Notamacropus eugenii: one gene and its partner. The protein of the gene in region 1 purifies or fractionates together with the protein of each later gene. This does not show direct contact. Links are inferred from orthologs where the notes say so. Each region holds a gene or a part of one and is shown on either strand. Other genes may lie near its edges.

Region 1 (7,748 bases):
GAGCCTCTGGAAAGTCTGAAATAAGGATCTTCATCCACTTGGCCAGGATATTTCTTAAGTAAACGGACTGCACAGGTGCTTCTGGCCAGCAGTCCATTCCCACCCCTGGAATGTCTGAAAGAGTAGCGCCATAGCTGCCCATAACCTGTGGCATTTTCTGCCGGGTGAGGTTATGTATTTGAGAAAACTTCTTATCAGAACACTAAAACAGGTATATAGGAATTCAAAGAACAAAGCAACCCTCTGTAGTTTCAAGTAAGGCTGAATTGAAAATACCAGCTGCCACAGGGACCTGGCAGCCAGGATCAGTGGTGCTTAGTTATAAGAAGCCTTCTATACTCGTTGGCTTACTTGGGTTCAGTAATGTCTGTACAATTTGTTAGTATGGGTGAACAGACACAGCCGGGGTAGTGCTATTACATACTGTGCCCATCAGAAATGCAAGATCATTTGAGACCCAACTTAGAATTAATCCTTTTAGCTGACACCTTTCTTTGCTAAGGCTGGACCTTTAGAGGATCCAACTGAATGATAACACTTAAAGGTGGGAGGGCCCTTGGTAGCTACCTAATCCAACCCTCTCATTTCACAAATGAGGAAATGCTGGAGTCAAGAAGACTCATCTTCCTGAGTTCAAATCCAGCCTCAGACACTAGCTTCCTGATCCTGGACAAATCACTTAACCCTGCTTGCTTCAGTTTCCTCATTGTAAAATGAGCTAGGGGGAAAAAAAAGCAAATCACTCCAGTATCTTTGTGAAAAAAAATCCAATTGACGGCACAGAGAGTCAGGACTGAAAACGACAACAAAAACGACTTGCCCAAAGTCATACACATAGTAAGCAATATTTGAACTAAAGTCCTGGGATTCAGGCTATGCTCTCTTGATTCCTTCTTAAGATGGGTGGTATGAAATACAAATAGAAACAGAGGCCACTAAACAATACCTAAATATAAATAAATAACAAGGATTCTTTCCTTGTGGGTCACATATTGACTTAAAATGTAATATCTGTTTTACTGTATTAGTATTTATCTTGGTGAATATTTCCCAGTTACATTTTAATCGGGTCCTGGCCATACCCTAGCAACTAGATCTAGCTGCCTATTTGACCTCTGCTTTAGATGACATTTATATAACACCCAGAGGATCCTGTCCTTTCCTTCAAAATACCTTCCCCAACTAGCTTGATCCTACTATGAATTCAGCCCAAATAGTGACCAATTCTGTCCCTCACACCTTAATGCTGACTAATTTTTCACCTTTTTCCTAGGAGATGAGATCTGCCCATATCAGTACACTACTAGACTTCTGATATGGGAGTAAGAAAAAGCCCAGAGAGAGATAAGTGTCAAAAGCAAACAATCACCTATTTGAGAATTTTGGGGATGGCTGGCCTTTTCTCCAAAAACATTGCATCTAAGATAACTAGAAGCTAAGGTCTCTTTAATAGGCACCACACCATTTCTAATTTTTCTTCTAAATCTATTTGTTCTTTTTTCTCCCCTTATTATCCTGTATCCTGCTAGCCACAACAGGTATTTTTTACTTCAGATCCATTTCCTTTGCCTTCAGTTTTCCACCCACTCAGCCTATCTAGGGCATTGCCTAGACATGTGTGCTCTTTAACCTTTTAGTCATTTCTAGTTTCTGGATTCAAGTTCCCTTATCTCATCCATGGAAAGACAAGTTCTGATTCACTTCTGCCCATCCTTAGTTCAAAGTTCCTAGTTTCAGCATCATATACCCAGAAGCCACAACACAATTACTAATCAATCACTGATATAGCCTATACGTGATACCCTTTATAAATAAGAACTCCAACAACTCATTCTGTCGCTGGGATGGAGGGAAGAGAACATGATGCGTAAATGTCACCTCCATACCATTTATAGAATATGTTATTATAATGTTACTTGGCCATCGAGTCATAACAGGCAATTCTGTTTCTCTTTTTCACAAAGAATAAAAATACAGTTTGTTCTACAGCAATTTTCGCAAATGATTTTCCCCCTTTTTTGCAGAAACACCCCAAAGGATAGAAATAACCATCTATAAACCAACCTCATTCTCCTTTCAAAATTTCTTTACCCCCTGCCCCCATAATTCGCATTCTCCCCAAACCCTCCTCCAACTTTCATGTCTTCCCTTCCCCCTCAGGGGCCCCTTCCCTCCCCCCCCAGCCACACCTTTTCCCTCCCCCTTCCCAACCCTAAATGACCTCTCCATCCATCTCCCCCGGCGCCCCCGCCTTCTCGGCGGACCCTCCCCACCCCCAACAGTCCCTCCCCCGCCTCCCGGCCCCCAGCCCCTCCCCCTGCAGCAGCCCCTCCCCCGGACGCGCGGCGCGCACGCACTGGGTTTTCCGTCGGCCCTGGTCGCGGTGCAGCTCGCGGAGGTCCACTTCGGCCCGGCCGAGGAACTTGTCGAGGCCGAGCAGGGCGCGGTGCAGCACGGTGAGCTGCAAGGTGGCGGCGTTGCCGGGCCCGGCGGGCAGCCCCAGCGGCGGCAGCTCGAAGGTGGCCTCCTCCCGCCACACCGGCGCGCCCAGGCTGCGCTCCGACACCGAGGTCGCGTACTTCTCCTTGCCCACCTGGATCAGCGCGTACGCGTCGCTCGTGCCGCCGGGGCCCTTGGCCCGCAGCCCCCGGGCCTGGAGCACCGTCACCTGCACGTGCGTCGGGGACCACGCGGCCCCCAGGCCCCGGCCGCCAGCCGACAGGGACATGATGCCGACGCTGTGGCTGGCGATGTCGGCGCCGCCGCCCCTACCGCAGCCTCCCGGTGACTCTGGCTCTGGGGTCACGGCCCGCGGCCTCTTTAAAGCTTCCGGCCCCGCCCCCGCGCGCGGCCCCGCCCCCCACCTGTCCTCGCGCCCGCCGCGGCACCTCCGGGAACTTGTTTTGGCCCCGAGTGACCACGCCCCTCCCGGCTGGCGGAGGCCGGGCTGAGTGAGGGGCACGTCCGCGGAAGGAAAGAGGGAGGCTGGCTCGCCCCGGCAAGCCCGGAGTGTCCGAGGGGCCGACCCGGCTCCTGAGAGGGGAGACCCTGGATTGGGAAGGATTTGAACCCGGGCCGCCTGCGCACCGGGTCCGGCACTTCTCCCGGACTAGGCAGCGCGAGTTAGAACCTCCATTCGGGGCCTGCCGGGTGCCGGTGTTGGCGGTTTTCATTCGTGGAGGGCGCACGAAGGAAATAGAAGAAACGGGCCCTGCCGTCCGGGAACTCAGACCGTAAAGTTAGGGAAGTAGACACGCGTGGGGAGTTCTCAGCTTCTGGCGTTCTCGGCCAGCCTCTTGCCCTGACAGCCGTAGTCAGACGCGGCCAGGCTCCGGTCTCCTCGCGCCTTCCCTGCCTTCCGCTCGGCCGACCCCCCGCCGGGGCGGCATTACCGGGGCTTCCCCGAGCCCGCTGCCCGTGGCTCTCGGTGACCACGAGCTTGTCACCGCCGCAGCCCGCAGGGAAATGCCCCCGCTCCCAGCCCGGGAGTCCGGAGGCACGCTGGAGGCGGGCCACGACTCTGGACCCCTCACTCCGGGATCGATTCCCCAGGAGGAAGATCTTACAGAACCGCATGGGAGTGGGAGAAGAAGTCATGCCTGGAGAATCTCCCACGATCTCTAGGAAGACTGGGAGTGTGCCTGGTATTTTTAAAGCCACAGGACTGTCTGGAAGGATGTGTTGCTTCTTTGTGTGACAGTGACAGACTTGGGGTCTCTGGGAGACAGTCACAGACTCATAAGGTTTAAGGTTGGAAGGGGCTTGAGAACCCAGCAAATTATAACTTGAGGGATGTCTGAAATAATCCAGACCCATTTTGATAAACTAAGAAGCCCCAGGGGTAATCAATTGGAAAGCAGTGTTCATTGTGGGAGGGAGGTGGGTAAAGTTGTCTCTAGAGTCAGAGGTGTTGGGTTTAAATCTCTTGTCTGATACGATCTAATTTACCAGGCTTGAAAGGTTAGGATCTTTGACTGCTTCCATTCCTCCATCATACAGTGGCGAAGGAAGAACCATTGATTTTTGCAACCTAGATGAGGTTACAAATTTGTCCCCTTTGTATGTAACTGAAGACAAGATTCTGAGCTTTCAATGACACACAGAAGATGCTATATAGCTTAGTGTTTTCATGGATCTGTAATTCCTTCCATCAGTACAGATCAAAATCAGTCCATATTTTATCATATATCATTCTTGTCCATGGAGAATCAACTCAATATTCTAGAGGCTTTTTCCAAAGTTTTTTTTCTTTTTTTTTACATTTCATTGGTGCCCCAACGCTGTCCATTATGTCTCTTGTTCCAATGACGTGACCTGCCCACATCCTTTTCAATTGCACATTTCTTCTATTATTTATACATAAAGTACCTGAACGTATCAGGATATCACTTGTAATGAATTATACAAAAGGTATTAAATGTATGTCTGAAAAGGTATTTGTAAGTCAAGAACAGAGTTGGAAAGTACCTTAAAGGTTATGAAGTCCAGTGCTTTCATTTTACAGGGAGAAAACCAAGGCCTAGAGTGATGCAATAACTTGCCCAAGGTCACATGAATAGTAAATAACAGTCAGAGTCAGGAGCCTAGATCCTTTTGACTCCAAATTTTTTGCTCTTTCTGGCATACCACACTGCTGGTCATGTAGCAAGAGGAAGGAATAAGAAATGGAACAGTTCCCGTGTTGCTCTGTTATCTATATAATGTAAAGGAAGACCCCCAGTATTTTGAATGTGTTCTTGCAAGGAATTTATAGGGGCTCAGGAGCAAGAGTTGAAGAGAATAAGAAGGAATGGATGAGTTGTAACCTATACCACTAAAGGGAATGTCCACATCAATGAAATTAGTTCCCTATTGCATATATGAGAAGTATCCTTTTTTATGGTTTCTAAATTTTTTAATTGTGAATTTATACAAAGAACAGAAAATATGTGAATATGTATATGAAATATACATACAAATATTTGTGAAATACACAGAAAATATATGTATATGAAACTTTGAACTTATTTATATTTTGTGGCTTTTAATATATATTTAACATAATAGTAACAAAACTACCCCACTTGTCTACGTCTGATTCTTCATGCTATGTTTTGTAAATAAATCATTCTGGAAATACACAGCAGCCTACTTGTACCTACTATTTTTTTCTCCGTTGAACTTTGGGATACCTATTCTGATTCTTCAGAGATTGTATTTTTCCAGAATTTATACCATACAGCATCACTGGGAGAACATTCTGTGAAAGAGGTGGATTTTAAATCCTGCAAATTGGCAAAGGTGATAAAAGATAGTTCACTCAGTTTTAGAGGAATTGTGGAAAGATAGGCACAGTAATGCATTGTTGGTGGAGCTGTGAATTGATCCAATCGTTCAGGAAAGCAATTTGGAATTATACTAAGAAAATAAGCAAAAAACAAAACAACAACAAAAAAAACCCCATAATCTTTAACCCAGAGATTCCACTGTTAATCACATACCGGACATTCAATGACAAAAAGGCTCATATGTACAAAATCATTTATAAGAGCATTTTTTTTGTAGTAGAAAAGAAGTGGAAACAATAAATGTCCATCAATTAGGATAAACAAATTGTGGTACTTGCATATAAAAAATATTACTCTGCTATAAGAAATGATGACTATGGTCAATACAGGAAGCAACTCAAAACTGTCTAGTCAAAGCAGGAAAAGAAGAAAGAAGCTTCTCCCTTTTATACATCTATTAAGTTATCCATTTTTCTGGTTCTGCAGTCAATTACAAGATTTTATCATCTCAAAGCAAAGCCCTATATTCTTGAGTCACATATGACCAAAGTTCCCTTACAGTTCTTGGAATGGTCTTCAGTGTAGTCATATGCTAAGTGCATCCAGTACTAAGATGATAGAGTCTAAATCATGGGTGATGAAAAGAGTTTATTATAAAAATACAAACAAATTAATTCCATTTTCCATCTATTGTGACTTTTATCTATTTATCTTGATACTATGTAACCCAGTCAGTGCTCATACTAAAACCAAAGACTTATTTTTCCTACCCTTATGTTTTGCTATTTTGTAAAGTGATAGTGATCATAATCTTCTGTGATTCTGTTCTGTGATATTTTGGTTGCTATATCTCTACTTGCAGAAAGATCAAGTGTTTTCTGACTAAGGTGATTTCCAGGTTCTTTTTTCCTCCTTGTGGTGACTGCTTTATATCAGTTACACTTTTCAAGGAAATGATGATGATTCAGGTCAATACTTTGGCTTGATATCAACTACTCATTTGAATAGGTCTAGTTAAAGCTGTTGCATTTGTTCTCAGTCATCTTATCTTTATTTTTTCTTCAAATTTGATGTGGATTTCCACTTTTGATCTAATTAGTTGATAGTCTGGTAGCACACAGCTGATTGTCATGAGCCCCCACATCAATAACCAGTTATTTCCTGTCTGTCAAGAATAGTTCATTTTTGCTACCACAGAAGTGCTATTATGACAATTTTGGTATGAATGGCATTTCCAAAATAGTCATAGCAGCACATTTTAGTGGCAGCTAAAAACCGGAAAGTGAGTGCACTCTCCTATAAGATACGGTTGATATGTTGGTTGATTTTGCTGAAACAGTTTAAAAACTTTGTCACAAAGGATGACTCAATAATGTTAAAGAGAGTGCAAGGAGATACTCAGAAATGAAGTTGATAGAAAAACAAGAAGTAGCCATTTCTAAGTTACTATCCTTACTTCCCCTTTCAACCCTTCACTTTTGTTACCAAGGCTACCCAAGTCCTTATTTTCTCCTGCCTAATCAGTTACTATCTTCTTCCATTCAAATGTTTTTCACATTTATTCATACCTCTCCATTTCCATTGCCACCACCCTAGTTGAATAGTGGATTGCAACAATTTCTTAATTGGTCCTCCTACCTCTGGTCTCCACCTCTACCTGCAATCCAGTCTCCATACTGCTACTTAATTAAACTTCTAAAAGCTCTACTCTCAACCTGTTACTCCTTCGCTCAAACCTTCAATTTAATTCCAGCTAGATTAATAAATGAATATATAAATAAAGCCATCTATTAATGGATCTTCATTTGTCTGTTACGTTAAACCAGGGAACATCATGATTGGGAGGAACTCATCTAGTCCATTTCGCATCTACATCTTGAATACCTTCTACAGCATCCTTGATAAATGGTCAGCCAGAAAACTTTTAGTAATGGAGAACTTACTACTTCTAATGGCTGCCCTTTCTGCTTTAAAACAATCCTAGTTATCTGCTTTGCCTTAATTCCTACCAACTGTTTTTAGTACTGCCCTCTAGGGCTAAGCAAATTACAGAGAGGCTAATTTCAGTTGGATATAGGGAAAAACTTGGTAATTAGAATTGTACAAAATTGGAATAGGCTGTCTTGGGAAGTCAGCATTCCTCATCAGTGGGAGTCTTTATCTGAAAGTCAAATGAAGAGTTGTCAGGGATAATATAGTACTAGAAGAGATTCCTGTTCAAATAGAGGCAGGACTGGATGACATCAGAATTCCCTTCTAACTCTAAAATTCATTGATTGAGTCTGTTTAGAACCATTCAGATTCCTCACTTAAGAGGATATAAACTAAATCTGCTTCATCCCTAACTGGGTTGCAAAATAGCATTTATGAGCCCTTGCTTTTTAATCTGCTGATTAAATTAGGGAACCAACCAACTTTCATTCTTGGCAACAGTTTCTGGTCAACTGACCTGATAATGAAACTACCTCCCCAGGGAGGAAA
Region 2 (8,263 bases), on another chromosome or scaffold:
AGTTCCTCCCCACTCTAATATATCCTCCACTCAGCTACAAAGGTTATAAAGTCCTCTGCTTGGCATTTATATTTGTTCACAACCTGGTATAAGTGCTATCTTCTTATACTTTACTCTCCTCCAAGCATCCTAAAATCCAGCTACACTAGCCTATTTGCACTTAATCAAATATGACTCCCTGTCCTTTTCTACTGGCTAGCAGCCATGCCTGTAATGCTCTGTTCTCCCCCTTCGGCCTCTTAGTTTCCAGGGCTTCCTCCAATATTCGGCTCAAACCCTGCCACCTTCTGCAGACCTTTCCTGGTTCCCTTAGCTGTCTTCCCATCTCACATTACCTACCATCTACCATGCAGATATATTGAACATGCCTCTGTTATACACATGTTGTCTCCCACATTAAAATACCCTCAACGGCAGGAGCTGCTTTAGCCTTTCTTTGTATCCTTTAGAGCCAGGAACATAGTAAGTGCTTAAAATATGCTTGTTAGGCTACTTTGTTGACTAAAAGGTATACTACATTACTTTTCATCTCTGACAACTGTTCGTGACATAATGAACATACTCCTTTTGGGTGGAAGAGGGCAGAAGACTTGAATAACTGGGATCCATGAAAGCCAAAGGACACACAGAAGGAAGGCTGAAGGCAGTGGAAGTGTAAACCCTATAACTCAGGAGACAGCAATCTTTGGGCACGGGCTCAAATAAACACCAGGTACCTGAAATCAGTGCTGAGCAGAGCAGGGCTTGTTTTGTAGCAGCTCACATACAGGGTGTTTCAAAAGTCTTAGTGCAATTTTAAACTAGCAAAGCCTAATACTTTTGGACATCCTGTATACTAAATGCATGGAAACACATATTGAGGATCTCATTTACTATTATACAGGAGTCTAAAAGTGTGTGATCAAATTCTTTTTACAAACTTATTTTTAAATCATTGTAACTGAGAAAATTTGGGGGGACTCAAGATTAATTTCTTTTCTAAAATGTTATATTTGAACTCAGGCATGTATAGATTAAGAGATTCTTATAAATAAATGTCTTTAGAAAATAAATATTTAAGTAACTGACATTTCAGTACTATGAGACAGAAGGATTTCCTGAGCAGTGCTTCTTAGGTCAGCTGTGAAAAATGAGCCCTTTCCATTTGGGGTCTCTAGGAGTTTTAGTAATAAGAGTGTGTTGGAAAAATAGAGTGATGATGAGGTGGACAGCAGAGGAGATATAACTAAAGCAGAGGAGCAGAGGCCAGGAGGATTTGTAGTTCAGACAGAGCACAGTGAACAAGGACTTGGAATACACTAATATAGCGGTCAGCCAGTCCTAGGCACAAGAAGAAAAAGAGATCACATCCTTGATTTAACTTAAAGAGTCTCAGATGAAAGAAAAACCAAGGAACAAGTATTTTGAAGAGCCAACAGTCCAAGGTACCAGACCCAGGGATAAGAAAAATAGACATTTTTCATGTCTACCTAGTACCTCTTTGCTGGAACCCTTGGGCACTTCCAGGCTAGCCTGTTGGCTACTCAATGGTAAGAATTTTAGAAGGTCTAATGCCTAGCCCTCTGGCTTCAGAAAAGAAAGCTTGCCCAATTCCTGATCAGTCAGATCAGTCAGAATCAGCACCTCATCTCCAGGTCAAGGAGTTCTGAGTATGTCTGAGAAGTAAAGGTAGTGAGGGAAGGATCCCAGTTAATCTAGGGATCCCCCACTCTAATGCCCTGGATTCTTTTGCCTCAGAGAAGTTTGTCTTTTATCTAGAGTACAAGGCTGCTCAGACATCCCTCTCCAGGAGTAAAGTCCTGTATAGCAACACCGGCTAAGTCCCATTACAAGCTCCCCCTACATAAATCACTCCACATATCTTTTATCCTCAGTCCTAATGCTCTCTTTCCATCCTGTGAACCTTAGTTCTCTCTGCCTTTCCCATATCTGACACAATCACTCCTCTTAAATGAGTTCCTCCTGCATTCAACCTGCCTGGCCTCAATCTTCACTCCTCTTTTCTCTCCATACTCCATTCAAATCTCTACTACACTTTCCCCATCTCCCTCCCTTCCTCTCTGCAAGCTCCCTGTCTCTCTCCATTCTCTAATTTTTCTCCCCCTCCCCCCATTTTCCTTCCAAGATATCCTCTATTGCCTTCCCTCCTGGTCCTGCTCCCCAGTATCTCCTCCCGACTCCCTTTCTCCTTTCGGCGGTCTTAAGAATCTTGTCCAGTGACCCCAACCCATTTGTTTTTCCTCCTCGGTCTCCCCAGCGCTTAGCACAGTGTCTTTCACCTCGCAGGGGCTTAACTGGCCTCGGCAGCCAGGCTGGAGTCAAGTCAACGAGAGGTGCCCGGCTCGAGCCCCTGCCTAGTCTCCGGGGTGTCTTCCCAGCCAGCTCCCCAGAGTCGCCTTCCTGAACATCTCGCGCAGCTTTTCTCTACCCCCTGGTCTTCTTTCCTTCTTCCTCCTCCTCGAGTCCTAGGATCCCTCCAACCCGGGCGACCCCGACCCACACTATTTTCTGCTCCTAGGTCCCCGCCCCCTTTCTTCCCGGGCTCCCTCCCGAGTTCCAGGACCATCACTACGGTTCCCAGCCAGCTGTCAGTACCTACCGCGCCCGGCCCCCCTCCCCCTTTCAGCAGTCACCAACCCCCTCCCCACTAAGTGCAACCTACCCCTCCCCCACCTTCTAGCCAGGGCCCCGCAACCCCCTTGTTCAGTAACACCGACGGCTCTGTGCAGCCGCCCCCTCCGGGCCCGACACCCTCTCCGGGCCCGACACCCCGTGTCAGCTCCCCTTCGTCCTCGCCCCCGGTCCAGGCCTCGGCTCCGGTTCCGACGCCCCCGCTAGGGCCCGCGGAGGTCCCTTTCCAGCCCGGCGGAGCGCGACGCCGGGACTGAGGCCGCCAGCAGGGAGGGGGCCGCACTCCCCGAAGGGTCCGCTCTCTCACTCAGCCCTCCCCGCCTCAGCGCCGGGCACCTTTGAACAGGTAGTCGTACTCGTCGTCCCGGGTCCCCATTGTCTCGGCTCTTCCGGCGGGATCGGGCCCGTCTCCGCAGCCCCACCACAAACACCCGACTGGGGGGCGGAGCCCGACCGGCCGCCGAACGACAGTTCCACCGGCCTATCGGCCGCGGGGCGGGGGCGCGACTGACACCGTGGTTACCCTATCAGAACTAGCGACCAGTGTGGGACCAACCCACTGCTTCCACCTACCGCGGGCCTGAAACCGACGGAAGGGGAGGGGAGGGGCTTCCTGAAGTGACAGTGATATTAACCTATAGGAGACGGACACAAGAGACGGGAGGCAGAGTCGAGAAACAGAAGGAAATTGATGTTCCGCTAAGCCAATGAAAGGCAGAGAGAGAAAAGTTTACGGGAGGAAAGGGGCGTAGGCCACGGGGAAGGGCTGGGATTGGAAGGGGCGGAGCCTGAAAAAGGAAATGACCTATTAGGCCTGAGGACTGAAAAGGGAGTAACGTTGCCGTGACGTCACGCGCGCGGCACAGCTCCTTCCTCTAGAGTACTTTGGCGTCATTAATTCAGGGAAACAAAAAGGACTGAACTGACGGGTGCCCCAGTTGCAGACCACCACCTCCGAGGCTCTGTGGCTACCGTGCCGCTGACCACCCATCCCTCCACTGCTCAGCACCCCCTCGGAGACCCTCCTACTGCCCGCCACCCCCGAGTCTCACTAGCCCCCCGATGACCCCCTCCTAGACCACCGCATCACTTCACTGCCGAAGGTCACCCCGCTGCTGAACGTCACCCCGGAGACCCAAGGGTCACCCCACCCCATCGCACCATCCCAGAAGCCCACTCATCACCCCAGACACCCTACCTACAAATCACCCAGCACTCCGAAGCTGACCATCATCTATCCTTGCCTGGTCACTCCCCCACTGACTACCACCTCTCACATTCACCAGCACCCCACTGCTCACTGCCACCTCACCTAATTGCCTGTCCACCCCAATCTGACCCCATCTCAGACCCACTGGTCATCCAGCCCCTAGCCACTGTCTTGCCCAGTCATGCCCCCTTGATCTCAAGAGACATATCTGCCAAGTATATTAGGTTGCCCTCAGTAGCAGGCATAACCTGGTTAAGAATCTGGTGGGGCAGAGAGGTGTCTCAGTGAGATAGAGATCAAGTCCACACATGGTACAACCATAATACAAATTAGATGACAGAGGAAGCGTGGCAGTGATGAAAGGAGTAGAATTGAAGTCAGACGACCTGCCTCAGTCATATATTATCTGTGTACCCTCCAGCAAGCCACTTGTCCTCTTCCTCTCTGGGCCTCAGTTTCTTCATCTGTAAAATGAGGGTTTGGACTGCAAAGGTCCTGTCCAACTTCATTAAGTCTCTGACCCTGTTATTATTAAAAAAAAAAAAAATGAAACCTAAAACAATCATGCTGCTACTGCAGAGAACTGCCTGGTCACCATTTGCCATTAATACAGACAGGCTCCACTCAAACCTGGCATGGGCAGACAGGTTGTTCAGTGCATAGAGAGCTAGACCTGGAGTATGGAAGACCTGAGTTCTAATATAGCCTGACACCGATGAGTTGTGTGTTTCTGGGCAAGTCATTTAGTCTGCCTGCCTCAGTTTTCTTTTATAAACTAGAGATAATAGTCCCTACCTTCCAGGGTTCTCACAAGAACAAAAATGAGATATTTGCAAAGCATCTTTCAAAAAGCTTGCCTAAAATTTTATTGTCTCCTACCTCTCGAAAACCACAAAAAGAGGAATCAGATAAGCAGTAGCCTCCCAGGTAAGCCTAGTCACTGCCTATACCGTCTGTTTGGGTGAGAGCCTAGGTCCCAAGTCTTTAGGTAGATTAGTACACCATGAAGGAGGTTAAAAAGGAAGCAAGACCTACATTCTTTAAAACAGTGAGTCTGAAGTGGTTAACAGCAGGGTCTCCAGACAAATATGTAAGATGGTAGTAAGGAGGAATGGGTGCAGGGAGAACAGGCTGACCTTCCCTTATGATGTTTTCTGAGACTGAGGGGACTATAGCTCACTTAATCCTGGTTAACATGGGTTATCTTTTCCTTCCCTGTTTCTCTTTCAGTTGTTGACTTGCATAATATAGTGAATATTCACACATAAAGCACAGTGCCAAGAACATATTAATCAAGGCCGGTTGATTGATTTCTTAAAAACTTAAATGCATTCAAAGAATACAGTGAGACAAATGGCCTCCAAGTCAAGCTATACGAGGACTGGTTGAAGGATCTGGGGATATTTTGACTGGAGAACATTTGGGTGGGTGGGGTTGTGTAAAGAGGAAAGACATAACTTGAAACACCATGATGTAGAAAACAGTGTTCTGCATGGCCTTCCATAGGAGGCAAATTTCACCTTGATGTAAAGAACCTCCTCACTAGCAGAGCTGTGCAAAAACAGGCCTTTTAGGGATGAAGTGGTGAATTCTTCATCCCTAAACATCTGCAAGTGAATGCTTCTGGAGATCACATTAGTGATTCCTGTTTGGACTGGATGAATTGATGACCCTTCCAATCTTGAGATTCTTTCATTCCTTTTATTACAAACAAATCTGAGGAGGCCTGGTAATCCCAGCCAGACTCTAAAACCCAAAAGATAGTGAATTTTTTTACAAGGCAATTATTTACAAATTACCCTGACCCCTCATAAGACCCCAGGGCAGGGCTTCAAAATAGCGATGCTCTGAGGTAGGTCACCATTCTAGATCCCCCAGTTCTTGGTCCTGTGATCCTAGTCCAGTCAATATGACTGAAGACAGCTAGGCAAGACTCCTAGTCAGTCATGAGCCCAGAAGCTGGGCTTCTTCCCCTCTAGTCCCCAGGGTTAGGCAACCCAGCCCCTCCCATTCACTTGTGCTTATAAAACTCTTCTGTGTAACAGGGTGGATGGGGAGAGGGAAAGCCCTTGCCTATTAGTATGTTGGTACCATAGGTTTACCCTTAAGAGGGCAACAGATTAAAGAAGGGCAAGAAATGAGTAAACACTGTCTCTTCAAGATGGAAGGGCTAGATTCCAAGGCTGGGCCTGGATCCTCTCTTATTCCTCTCTCGGTGAAGTACCTTTTTCAGTCCTGACCCTGGCCCAAGCATATGTCCAGGGAGACTATTGTCACCATGGGTGCTGGGAAAAGAGAGGGTGAGAAAGTTCTCTTTTTGCATTTATGTTGAGTCTTTGACCCATTGAACTCTGGCTCTTTTCTTTAGCCCTGCAAGGCTCTCAGAACAAGGCTAAGAGCTGGCACCCTCTGTGGGCTGAATTAGCATGGTGGTGGCCTGTAGAGGGTAGTAGCGTCCCCGCCAAGTCTTCCAGAAGATGCCCTGCTTCCTCTGGTGCCGCTGCCGGGGAAGGGAGTGAAAATACTTTCCATTGAGATTGGAATGGCCACAAGTACTGAACCACCAGCCCCCTGAAAAAAAAGGGAAAAAGGAAAGCAGGGTCAGGAATTGTGTGGAGAAAGTGCAGTTACAAAGGCACAGGTCTGCTTCAGAGGTCTAGGTAAAGGGCTGTGGGATTGGAGTTAGAACTCAAGGAGGTAGAATGAAAAAAAATACTCAAAAAGTACTAGACTGGAAGTCAGGAGCCTTGGGTTCTAGTTCTTGCTCTCTGTGTGACCTTGGGCCTCTCTCTCTGGTTCTTAATTTCCTCATCTGAAAATGAGCAGTGTGGAATAGTAGAAAACTCCAGATCTAGTGCTACATTCAAATCCAGGTTCTGCTCCTTATTACTTGTATGATCATGGAAAAGTCCCTTAACCTCTCTAAACCTGTTTCCTCATTTGTAAAATGGTGGGGGTTAGAACAGATGATAGATTTAGAGATAGAAAGGTAGAGGTCACGTAGTTTAAACCCTCTCATTTTAAAGATGAGGGAATGAGGGTGCAGAGAGGTTATCTGGTTTTCCCAAAGTTGCACAGAAAGTTAGAGGCAGAGCCAAGATCTGAACTCTGGGTCCTCTGAATTCAAATCCAGTGCTCTTTCCATTGTCCATCCTGCGTTGACCACCAAACTCTTTTCCAGCTCCAATAATCAGTGATCAAGCTCTGTGGCACAGTGGAAATGACCCTGGATCTAGAGTCTGAGGGCTGAGGCTCAAACCCTCAGCTCTGCTACTTATTAGCTGTTCAATCTTGGGCAAGACATGTCACTTCTCTTGGCCTTAGTTTCCTCATCTACAAAATGAGGGGTTGGACTAGATGACCTTTGAAGTCCCTTCTAATTCGAAATCCATGATTCTATGATAAAGGGGATGCAGAGTTTCTTATCTGTATGTTGAAGGTCCTTTTTAGTTATAAATGTAAGTTGAGTTGATTTCATTATTGATGAAATTACTACAGTGCACAGAATGCAGAACTTGGATTGAAAGACTTGCATTCAGATCTGGCCTCAGCCACTTACTAGCTGTGTGATTTAGGGCAAGTCACAAACTCTGCCTCAGTTTCCTCACTTAGAAAATTGGGAGTAAAATAGCACCTACCAAAATAATAGCACCTATCATGCAGGGCTATGTGAGAATGAAATGGGATGCTATTTGTAAAGCAAACTTTGCAAACTTCAAAGTGCTCCAGAACTGCTAGTTATAATAACCATTATTATTATGTAGTTATCATATGTATGAACAGGATAGGAAGGGGATGGAATTCTATTTCTGCATCTCCCTTGCCCACCAAATCAGTTGATGTAGCCCAGAATGTAATTGCAGGTGATGAGTGGATAGAGTGCTGGGTCTGTAATCAGGAGATCAAATCTGGCCTCAGACACTTCCTAGCTATGTGACCCTGAGCAAGTCACTTAACCCTGTTTGCCTCAGTTTCCCCATCTATAAAATGAGATGGAGAAGGAAATGGAGAACCACTCAGTATCTCTGCCAAGATAATCTCAAATAGGGTCAAGAAGGGTCAGACACAACTGAAGTGAATAAACAACACTCTTATACACACATACTAACACATACGGGTGTGGAATTTGAGGTTGAAACTAGAATTTGATTATAGATGGGAGATTAGGGATGGGTTTGAAGCTATACAGGGCGAGGGATTTGTTTATAGCTGGGGAGTGAGTATGGTTCCATGGCTCTCAGGGAGGGAGAAATGGTCATAGAGCTGGATGTGGGATTTTGACCGAGAAGTTGCAATTAGAATTGAGATTGCAATTCAGGATAAGGTTTGAAGCTCAGATATGGGCTATATTTTGGGTATGGATAAGAGTTGGGGATTTGTGGATGGGACAACAAATTCAGACACTGACTGAGTGCCCATTAT

Evidence for each region.
Region 2: the proteins of RAB11FIP1 (region 1) and RAB11B purify together in Homo sapiens (affinity purification with mass spectrometry; 3 studies listed by BioGRID and IntAct, counting the BioPlex papers as one, with this or other methods). This does not show direct contact. The link is inferred for Notamacropus eugenii from reciprocal best matches to the Homo sapiens genes RAB11FIP1 and RAB11B.

Annotation. Positions count from the first base shown.
Region 1 is NC_092872.1:623,088,727-623,096,474, reverse strand, and holds the start of RAB11FIP1 (rab11 family-interacting protein 1), read right to left. Parts: upstream 3,003-7,748; 5' UTR 2,729-3,002; coding exon 2,358-2,728; intron 1-2,357. UniProt on the Homo sapiens protein: A Rab11 effector protein involved in the endosomal recycling process. Also involved in controlling membrane trafficking along the phagocytic pathway and in phagocytosis. Interaction with RAB14 may function in the process of neurite formation.
Region 2 is NC_092875.1:52,176,338-52,184,600, forward strand, and holds the start of RAB11B (ras-related protein Rab-11B), read right to left. Parts: upstream 3,174-8,263; 5' UTR 3,008-3,173; coding exon 2,968-3,007; intron 1-2,967. Other genes in the region: ANGPTL4 (angiopoietin-related protein 4), read right to left, coding at 6,234-6,412. UniProt on the Homo sapiens protein: The small GTPases Rab are key regulators of intracellular membrane trafficking, from the formation of transport vesicles to their fusion with membranes.